2 linked regions of the Caenorhabditis elegans genome follow. The protein of the gene in region 2 interacts with the protein of the main gene of each other region in a biochemical or structural test. Each region holds a gene or a part of one and is shown on either strand. Other genes may lie near its edges. The genes, in order: chk-2 and him-8.

The links.
Region 1: of the proteins of him-8 (region 2) and chk-2, one has a biochemical effect on the other in vitro, tested with the Caenorhabditis elegans proteins (one study listed by BioGRID).

What each region holds. Positions count from the first base shown.
Region 1 is NC_003283.11:19,912,711-19,917,659, forward strand, and holds the start of chk-2 (Serine/threonine-protein kinase chk-2), read right to left. Parts: upstream 3,314-4,949; 5' UTR 3,264-3,313; coding exon 3,223-3,263; intron 3,170-3,222; coding exon 3,033-3,169; intron 2,977-3,032; coding exon 2,846-2,976; intron 2,803-2,845; coding exon 2,664-2,802; intron 2,558-2,663; coding exon 2,421-2,557; intron 2,072-2,420; coding exon 1,964-2,071; intron 1,613-1,963; coding exon 1,493-1,612; intron 1,440-1,492; coding exon 1,383-1,439; intron 1,334-1,382; coding exon 1,247-1,333; intron 1,170-1,246; coding exon 1,045-1,169; intron 1-1,044. Other genes in the region: Y60A3A.19 (Protein YIPF), read left to right, coding at 3,859-3,973, 4,043-4,193. UniProt on the Caenorhabditis elegans protein: Serine/threonine-protein kinase which is required for checkpoint-mediated cell cycle arrest, activation of DNA repair and apoptosis in response to the presence of DNA double-strand breaks.
Region 2 is NC_003282.8:10,560,110-10,564,778, reverse strand, and holds him-8 (C2H2-type domain-containing protein), read right to left. Parts: upstream 2,875-4,669; 5' UTR 2,866-2,874; coding exon 2,773-2,865; intron 2,714-2,772; coding exon 2,382-2,713; intron 1,931-2,381; coding exon 1,618-1,930; intron 1,569-1,617; coding exon 1,375-1,568; intron 1,327-1,374; coding exon 1,274-1,326; intron 1,065-1,273; coding exon 964-1,064; 3' UTR 805-963; downstream 1-804. Other genes in the region: zim-3 (C2H2-type domain-containing protein), read right to left, coding at 3,794-3,812, 3,853-3,988, 4,034-4,095, 4,144-4,337, 4,418-4,669.

The sequences.
Region 1 (4,949 bases), on a different chromosome or scaffold from region 2:
ACACCGAAAAACTCGATTTTTCGGCGAAGAACCGTCGAAATTTAAGATTTTCTGGACAATTTCTAGTCAAAAATTATGAAAAACCTGAATTTTTTAATAAATTCTGACCAAAATCCCGGGTTTTTTGAGAGATTTTTCCAATTTTTCCGCTTTCAGTGGCAAAATATCGGGAAATATCCATTTTTCGACTGAAAATTGATTAAAAAAAACACAAATTTCTGAAATTTCCACTGAAATTATTGATTTTCGGCTCATTTTTCCAGGAAAAAACGGTTTTTTTACTGAATTTTAGCCAAATTTTGAGCAAATTTCCGAATTTTCGATGAAAAATTTGAAAAAAACACGTTTTTAATCGGATTTTTCACGAAAATCTCCATTTTTGATTCATTTTCACCAAAAATTATCGATTTTTAGCTGAAAATTAGAGTTTTTCGCCGAAAAAAATTCAAAAAACCGGGGAATTATGTGTAATTGACTCTAAAATCGTCGGAAATCTTTTTTTTTTCGATTATTGTGGCTGAAAATTAGATTTTTTGGCATTTTCTCGTGAAAAATTATGAAAAATCTCAATTTTTTTGCCAAATTTCCAATTTTTGAAGGGAAAACATCGAAAAACTCGATTTTTCGGTGAAAAACCACCGAAAACTGAGATTTTCTGGGCAATTTCTAGTCAAAAATTGTGAAAAACATGAATTTTTAATAAATTCTGACCAAATTTCCGGTTTTTTTGATAGTTTTTTTCCAATTTTTCCATTTTTACTGACAAAATTCGGGGAAATATTGATTTTTTTCGGCTGTAATCTCTTGAAAAATGGGATTTTTATCCGATTTTCAGCATAAAAGCTAAAATTTCTTTAATTTTCGTAGTTTTTGGCTCAAAATTTCAATTTTTCTGCCAAAATTTGTGGAGAAACTTCATTTTCCATCGATTTTAGTGATTTTTCCACGAAAAATTCGAATTTATTATCGATTTTCACAATTTTAGAGTGATTTTCGCTCAAATTTCCGAATTTTTAAGTCATTTTTGCCGATGATTCTACTAACATATCGACTTTTGGCGTGTACTCAACACCCTCATTCGCCACAATTTCCGGCGCATTATAAGACGGCGTTCCACAGCGAGTTTTCATTCGATTCACCGAATTTTTCGCCATTCCAAAGTCGGTTAGCTGCAAATTTGGAGGTTTTTCGGGTGAAAATTGACTAAAATTCAGCTTTTTTGAGCCAAGAAATTGCCAATTTTCACCTTTAAAATGCACCGCTCCGCTTTATCCGAGCACAGAATATTTTCGGGTTTAATGTCACGATGACAGATTCCAACAGAGTGAAGATACTGAAAAAAAACGAGCGGTTTTAGCGACGAAAAATTACCTAAAAATTACCAAAATCGCGTCGATTAGCTGAAAAGCGAAATATTTTCCGAGCGATTCACCGAGACCCTGAAAAAATGGAAAAATTAGGGAAATTTTCGGGATTTTTTCGGCCAATTTACCATTCGATTGTACTTGGAATCGACGACTTTTGAGAAAAATTCGCCTCCGCCGACATATTCGATAACCATATATGAGTACTTGGCGACGGTGATCCAATCGTAAATTGCAACGATATTTGGCTGAAAAATTAGAATTTTTAGGGTTAAAATGGCATTTTTGAGCATTTTTAACGCGAAAAATCACTTTTTATCGATAATTTTAGTGAAAAATGGCTCGAAAATAGGCCAAAAACCATTGAAATTGAATTAGGAGCGCCCAAAAATGTGTAGTTTGTAGTGTTAGCAGCGCCCAAAAACTGGAAAATTCTCATTTTTGAGCATTTTTGACCAAAATTACTTCAATTTTCGCTTAAAATTATGCTTTTTTGATCGAATTTCGTGAATTTTCAGCGAAAAATGCGGAAAATTTCGATTTTTCAGCAATTTTCCGTGTAAAAATCGATTTTTCAGCAATTTTCGTGTATTACTAACATGGCTGAGCTTCTTCATAACTTCAACCTCATTTCGAATATCTCGAGTTTTAGCGATTGCTCGGCTGCATCTTGTCGAAAATTGTGTGTTGAGCTGTTTAATAGCCACCTGAAACATGAAAAATTGATGATTTTTCCGGGAAAAAATGGCTGAAAATCGATTTTTCCCACAAAAATTGAGGGTTTTTATCGATTTTCCGTGAAAATTTCAAGGTTTTCGGCAAATTTTCATCGATAAATGTGTTTTTCCAGTTAAAAATCGCATTTTTCAGAGGAAAATTTGAATTTTCACAAGTTTCCGGTAAATTTTGGCGGTTTTTAGGTGAAAATCAGCAAAAAAAATGGCTGAATATGCACCAAAACTGGCGAAAATTCACAATTTTCGGAGATTTTATCGATTTTTCTGGAAATTTATCGATTTTTCTCCAATTTTCGGCATTTTCCCACGCCGCCCGTACCACTGATCGATCGGATTTCTTGTATCCGAGCAAAACTTTGCCAAAACCGCCTTTTCCCAGCGAATGGCTCGTCACGTGGTATTTTTTCGTCAGTTCCTCCGGATGATGGTCGGCGTCGGCGCTTTCGTACACGAAAACTGCAAATTTTCGGGGTTTTTTTGGGAAAAATCGACGGATTTTGGCGGAAAAACCCGTTTTTTTGGGCAATTTTACCCTAAAGCTTTAAAATCGTCAAAAACGCACTGATCAGCGCTGGAATCCCAATAGAGATCAAATCTCCGTTCATTAGCTCTCTGGACAGCCCTTTTCCGATCATTTCCTGATTTACGAGGGTCCCGTTGCGTGAGTGATCGTGTAGATAGATTCTACGCGTTTCTGTGTCCTGAAATATTGATTTTTTTGGCGATTTTTCAGTAGAAAACTACTCTATCAATGGAAAATTGAATTTTCGAGATAAATCTGTAGAGCCCGACGTCTTTGGCGACTTGAGAAAAGTTGAAATTCGTCGGAGCATCATCCGAGCCGCGTCCGCACACGAAATGATCGTCTGCCAAGTCTGGAAAATCGATTTTTAGCCGGAATTTCGTGAAAATTGCGGGAAAATCGACAAACCGATGGAAGAAATGCCTCGGCGGACGCCGACAAGCTTCGCGAAGGGTTTTGAAGCAGCACACTGTGATTCTCCGACGACAAGATCCTCGTCGACGGGCATCGTGTCGTCTCGGGTGACCGGAACCACCACGATTGGCCTAAAAAATTGAATTTTTTGCGATTTTTGGGGCAAATTTTGGTGATTTTTTACTTTTCCGCCGAGCTCCGACGTCTTTTTGTCCCGCGAACCATGGAAATCGCTGAAAAAATGGAGAAAATTGCGAAAAAATGGAGAAAATTGCGAAAAAAACGAAGAAAATTGCGCGAAAATTCGATTAAAAACAACTAAATCCTAAATAAAATACGAAAATACGAAAATCGCGGCGAGACGCGGCGAAACCCATCGATAACGAGTACTGCGCCTTTAAAAACTACCGTAGTTTTTTTAACGAATTTATTGACTTTTTCATTGGTTTTAGACTCAAAATCAATAGGAAAGTCGATTTTTTTTTCAAATTTTTTGTAAAGTTTTTTGAAAATCGTGAAAAAAACAACCAAAGCTTGCAAAAATTGAGTAAAAATTAAAAAATCACAAAAAAACATTAAAATCGCGGCGAGACCCATCGATAACGAGTACTGCGCCTTTAAGAACTACCGTAATTTTTCAATGAATTTTTGGATTTTATTCAGTTTTTCCGGGTTTTAAAACGTTTTTAACGTAAAAACCTGTTTAAAATGGATTTTTTGCATGAAATTTGTCGAAAATTTGAATTTTCTTCATATTTTTCTCGAAAAAATCGCTGAAAACCACCTAAAACCCCCGTTTTTTTTTCAGAATTTGGTGAAAATGGACTACCCGGGCACTGGAGTCAAGCAACCGGAGGTCTCTATCGACTTAAATGGCTTTTACTCGTCGAATTTCGAGCAATTTGAGCACCCGGACCAGTCATCTAACGCGCCAAGTACGAAAAATCTGAATTTTTAGGCCAAAAAACTAGAAATTTCCGTAAAAAATCGATTTTTTTTTGCAGATTCCGGCTCAATTTCAAGCCCGACTGGACAAATTTCAGCTCAGGCTTATCGTCGTACTAATGCTGGAGCCGCTGGAAAATTTATGGAGAATAGTGGATTTGGGTGGCTTCTGGAGGTCAATGAGGAGGACAGTGACCAGATTCCACTGCTGTAAGCGCCAAAAATGATGGAAAATTGGCTACAATCGAAGAAATTCGAAAGAAAACGGAGAAGAAGTCGAAAAATTTGAAGAAAAATGGGCAAAACCCCCTTTTTTCGACAAAATTCCCGAAAAATTGCAAAAATCCTAACTTTTTTTGGTTTTCCGTTAATTTTTCAAGTTTAAAACCTAAAAATTCAACTTTCCCGCGGAAATCTACCCCCAAGCCCCATTTTTCAGCGTTTTAGTGCAATTTTGCGTCAAATCTGGTGTTTTGGGTTACTGTAGCGTGGTGTTTGCGGACTTGACACCTGATTTGACGGAATTTTGCACTAAAACGCTGAAAATTGGGGCTAGGGGGTGAAATTGCATGGGGAATTCCAATTTTTTAGTTTTAAACCGCAAATTTCGACCTAAAACTAGGAAAATTCGAGATTTTTCTGAAAATTTGAAAAAAACTAGACTTCAACTCTGAATTTTTCAATTTTCGAGTCGATTTTCAGATTCTCCGTGCCAAAAAACCCCTAAGCCTCATTTTTCAGAGATTTAGTGCAATTTCGCGTCAATTCTGGTGTCTTGGGTTACTGTAGCGTGGTGTTTGCGGACTTGACACCTGATTTGACGGGAAATTGCACTAATGAGCTGAAATTTGAGGTCAGGGGGTGAAATTGAATGGGAAATTCAAATTTTCTAGTTTAAAACCGTAAATTTTGATCTAAAACTGGGAAAATTCGATATTTTTCAAAAAATTTCGAAAAAAGTTCAAA
Region 2 (4,669 bases):
ATCTGAAACTTTCAAACTTTCACAGTTAATAAAATCTTTAATTCTGAAATTATAAACTTACAATCAGCTTAAACTTGGGTTTGCTTAATCCAAGTACCTACCTAACCTTTGCCTAATTTTGACAACTTCTGAACAAGTTAATATGTTTTGACAAATTTGGCACATAGTTGTCGGGGAGTCAGCCGAAAAATTCTTAGAAGGGATAGTATTTGAATAACATCAAAAGGTCATTTAAAATTGTTTCCAATTCCAATTCGCAATTTCATAGAATGCAACGCAAATTTTGCAAAGAGCCGACATGAAACTCATCATAAATTCCTATCCATTTTCACGCCGGTCGCTCATAATAATTGAACCGCAACAGCCTCACTACGCTCACTCCAATTATAATAAATGAAGCGATTATCGAAATAGTTGACCGAAGAGGGGGAACTTTTCCATTAAAAAATAAGACCGGTAAATAATGGAAAAAAAGAGAAGGTAAAAAATTGCTTCATCTCTGTGTATATAATGATGAATATCCGTTTTTATGAGCGCGTCTCGTATCGAAAAAAAGAAGTGGTGGAGGAAGAAGTTTTTATAGGTCCGGTGTGTCTTTTTATGGGTATCGTGACGCTTTAGGCGCCGAATTTGTCGTAAAAGTACGATGAGGAATCTGTGAGAACATCAAACAGCATTGAAAGAATTTTATTCATTAACCCTTGTATTACCTGATTGTAGAGATTTATATCATTTTAAACAATTTGAAGCGCCAGATCTTAAATTTCCATTTTCTGAGCCAAAGTTTTACTAATCTCGAGCTGATTATCAATAAGATTTTATTAATGACACAAACTTTGTAGAAATATGACATAAACCGAATTATATTAAAATTTCGAGATTCGTGCTGTAGGCATGTATAATGTATGAAGTATGCAATATGCCGATATTTACAAAATAAAACGGCTGTGAACTTGCAAAGTTCTAGATGCCACTTCTCTTGGACTTTGACTTGACCCGGCTACGGCGGCTGCCATTTTGAGATTTTGGAGGATTTTTTCGTTTGTTCATCTCGACCAATTGATCTGAACAATTGACTTTCAACTGAATTATGAAACAGAATTTTCAGTTTCCAATCCATGTTTGAAATTAAATTGAACAATTTGGCCTACAGTAAATGAATTTTTTGAGTCGATTTTTATCAAGAAGATTTTAAAAATTTAAAAATTAGAGCAAATCTAAAAAATCAAAAACCATATGGATGTAAAACTATAATTTTTAACTTGATACTTACCTGCGAAACAAGCATTCATAATTTTTTGGAATCCTTTATTTTTGGTTGGCAAGCTGAAAAATTTGCAATTTGTTGAAATATTTTAATTTCAGAAAGTTTACCCAGACACTCCGAAGCCTTCCATTTTTGATGTTGAGTGAAAAATGCGATAGTGATAACGCATTTGACGGATTGTATGACAAGTGTGCTTGCATTTTTTGCATTTCAGAAAGTTTTTATCGCAATGGACCAATGCGTGATCGATAAGACGAAGTTTTCCATATTTCCTCTTCCACGCAATTGCTCGATTGCAGTTCTGCAACAATCCAGGTAATGGAAAAAAACAAACAGAAAATTTAACTCACCGGGAAATGACATTGAATATTGTGGATTTCATCTTTATTAATCTCGTCGTTTTTGCTGTCTGGAGATTTCATTTCATTCTCATTCAACTGATCTTCATCACCGGATTCGTTGTGATAATCGAAAAATGTAGGACTTCGTAATGGAGTCATCACTGTGGTTCGATCAACATCCATCAATTCTGTTTCATTCATAATAACATCATCATTCGGTGGTAATGACTGATACTCTTCATAATCATCAATATTTCCATCGTTGTCTACACCGTCTTGGAGAAACTCCGACTGTCCAGATGATACAATCGGCGAATTAATACTGAAAAAAAAACGAAATTTAAATTCTTGTGACTAACGGTACCCGGTCTCTCGGCAACCGTTTTTTTTCAGGTTCAAAAGAATGCACCTTTAAGGAGTACTGTAGTTACTAACTTTGTTTTTGCAGAATCCGCATTAATTTTTCCTAGTTTTTCCTCCGTTTCTTCAAAACTTGATGTATTTTAATATACATGATTCAACAAAAAAAATCTGGGAACCACAGTACTTTTTAAAGGCGCACACTTTTTTGAATTAAACTAAAATCGATCTCTAGGGTAAAAATTACAAAATTTTGCATATGGGTAATGTCTAAAACAGGTTCGAAGCTTTGAAAAAACAAGTGAATGAATTTTTAATTTGGACTACGAGAAAATATTCAGCGTAATTTAAGATTCACTGCTAAAAGAGTTTAAATTATTGAAAAAAAAATTTTGTATTAAAAAAAAACGTACTCGTCTCCATCTGCAATATTCGTCGTATGATTGGAAACAACATCTTCGATTATCATATCCATAACTTTTTCCACACTATTATTACTTTCATGTGAACTATTTAGTTCTTCTTCTGGTTCTTGATCATAGCTTTCCTTCAAATCTTCGTTCTCGTCGTTCGGTCCAATTTCGGATATTTTTTCCGAAAGATTCAGTGTGAATTTTTGATATAATCCTACGTTTGGAACGATTGGAGTGGAGAAACGAGGAGTATCGACTGTAGCAGTGTTGATTGAAGATATCGACGTGCTCTCGGTGAGGGAAACAAATGAGCTGCCACCGGCGAATTCATTCTGTAAATCGTAATAGTTTCAAAAACGAATACTCAGCAATGAAAAAAAGATAGGCTTACCAAATATTCAATCAATCCATAATGTTTCAAGTTTTCCAGAGTTTTTCCATAGATTCTGATATTAACAAACGAATTTAAAGAATTTCCATTCATTTATCGTATCTGAAAAAATAATTATTAAACATTTAAATAGGGTCGAGCAACAAAAATAAAGGGAATCACAGCATTAAATATTCAAATTAAAAACAAATAATCTCGTTTTACACGAGGGCCTAGTTTTCCCTCATTCTGCTGTTGCTGCACCATATCGTGCCAGAAGACCCATTTACATGCATGTCATCTGTTATTTCATAATAATCTGGCATGCATCTTTGAAATTAGAAAATTTTCATATTTTAACAAGATATTGACGAGCCTTCTCGTATTTTTTCCGATGGGTCTCGCCGCACAAAAAGTGTATGGTAAATAGGTTTAAACCTAGGTTTTTTTTCAATTTTTTGCTGCTACGCTTTTCTTGTATTTTCAAGAAAAAATCACTTAGTTTTTAGCGAAGTTTGTCGTTTTCTACTCATTTTCCTGTTTAAAATTGTTTTAGATCAGTTTTTTCCATAGTACAATTAACATTTATGATCAAAAATGCATGTTTTACACGAAGAAGGATATTAAAAAAATTTAACAGAAAAATGCAAAGTTAATAAGAAAATTAGCAAAAAACGAAGTAATGTTTTTAAAAAAGGAATGAAGCAGCCGAAAAAGTTAAAGAAAAGTACCATAAACTTTTTGCGCCTCGATGCCCATCTGAATAACTCCGTGTGCCTTTAAGAAGGTATATTAAAATTTAGTGATATCACATATATACAGAACTGAATTTAATAGTCAAAAAAGGTATTATAGATGAAAAACTCGCGGACAAAAAATTTACAAAACAAGTTATTTTTTAATGAAAAACATATTTTATAAGTTTATCTCGACAATAACAAACAAAAAACAAAACAAAACAATGAAACTATTACTAAAAAACATTGCAAATGTTACATGAGTTGACAAATAACACATTGTGCAGAGTCGTAGCGAAAGACGATCAGCGAATTCTGCGAAAACTAAACTTCAGAATAAAATAAAGTATATGGAAAAACCTACTAGAAAAGATCGTGTGATGGTCCTGGAGAGTCTTTATCTACATTCTCATTGTCGACTTCTGGAGTATTTTTCAGCGAGTTTTTACATTTTTTATATCTCCGCGGTTTCCCAATATTTCCGATGATGGAAGAATGTGCTGTAATTACACATTGAATATCAATATTTCATATCTGTCTAATACCTCCGAAGCACTTTTGGAAAAGATCGAAAATCGCCACTTCATCAAATTCGATATTGAACACTCTGAAATAATCGTGTTTTATATAATTTATTGAACAATTGACGGCTTACTTCTGAATATTAAACCCATCACACCTCACTTCTGGATGCATTTTTTGATAGTGATACTTCATTTGGGGATGTGTACTGCAAGAGTATTCACATGTGCGACAAACGAGACACTTTTCATTTTCATGAGTCATTGCATGATCCAGAAGTCGTTGTTTGCCGTATCGAAGTTTCCACGAGAGAATTTGCTTACAACCCTGAAAATAGCTTCTTTTTTTTAAATGTTGTCATATTTCCTGAACATCCTCCCTAAGAAATGGCTCAGATCGGAACTTACTTCGAAATTACATTTAATAATATGATTTTTATTCATTTGCTCGTTTCGCTTGTTAAGACGTTGGACAACTGGAACAGCAAACGAAACTTTTTTCGTCGAAGGAATCGGGCTCTCATCCTCTTCATCATCTTCACTGTTTTCCTCATTCTGCTGTTCTGCCTCATCAATTTCTGTTCCAACTTCTTCATAATTTCCGATCAGCACAGTATCCTCATCATCGAAATCATATTGAAACTCTCCCATGGTATTATG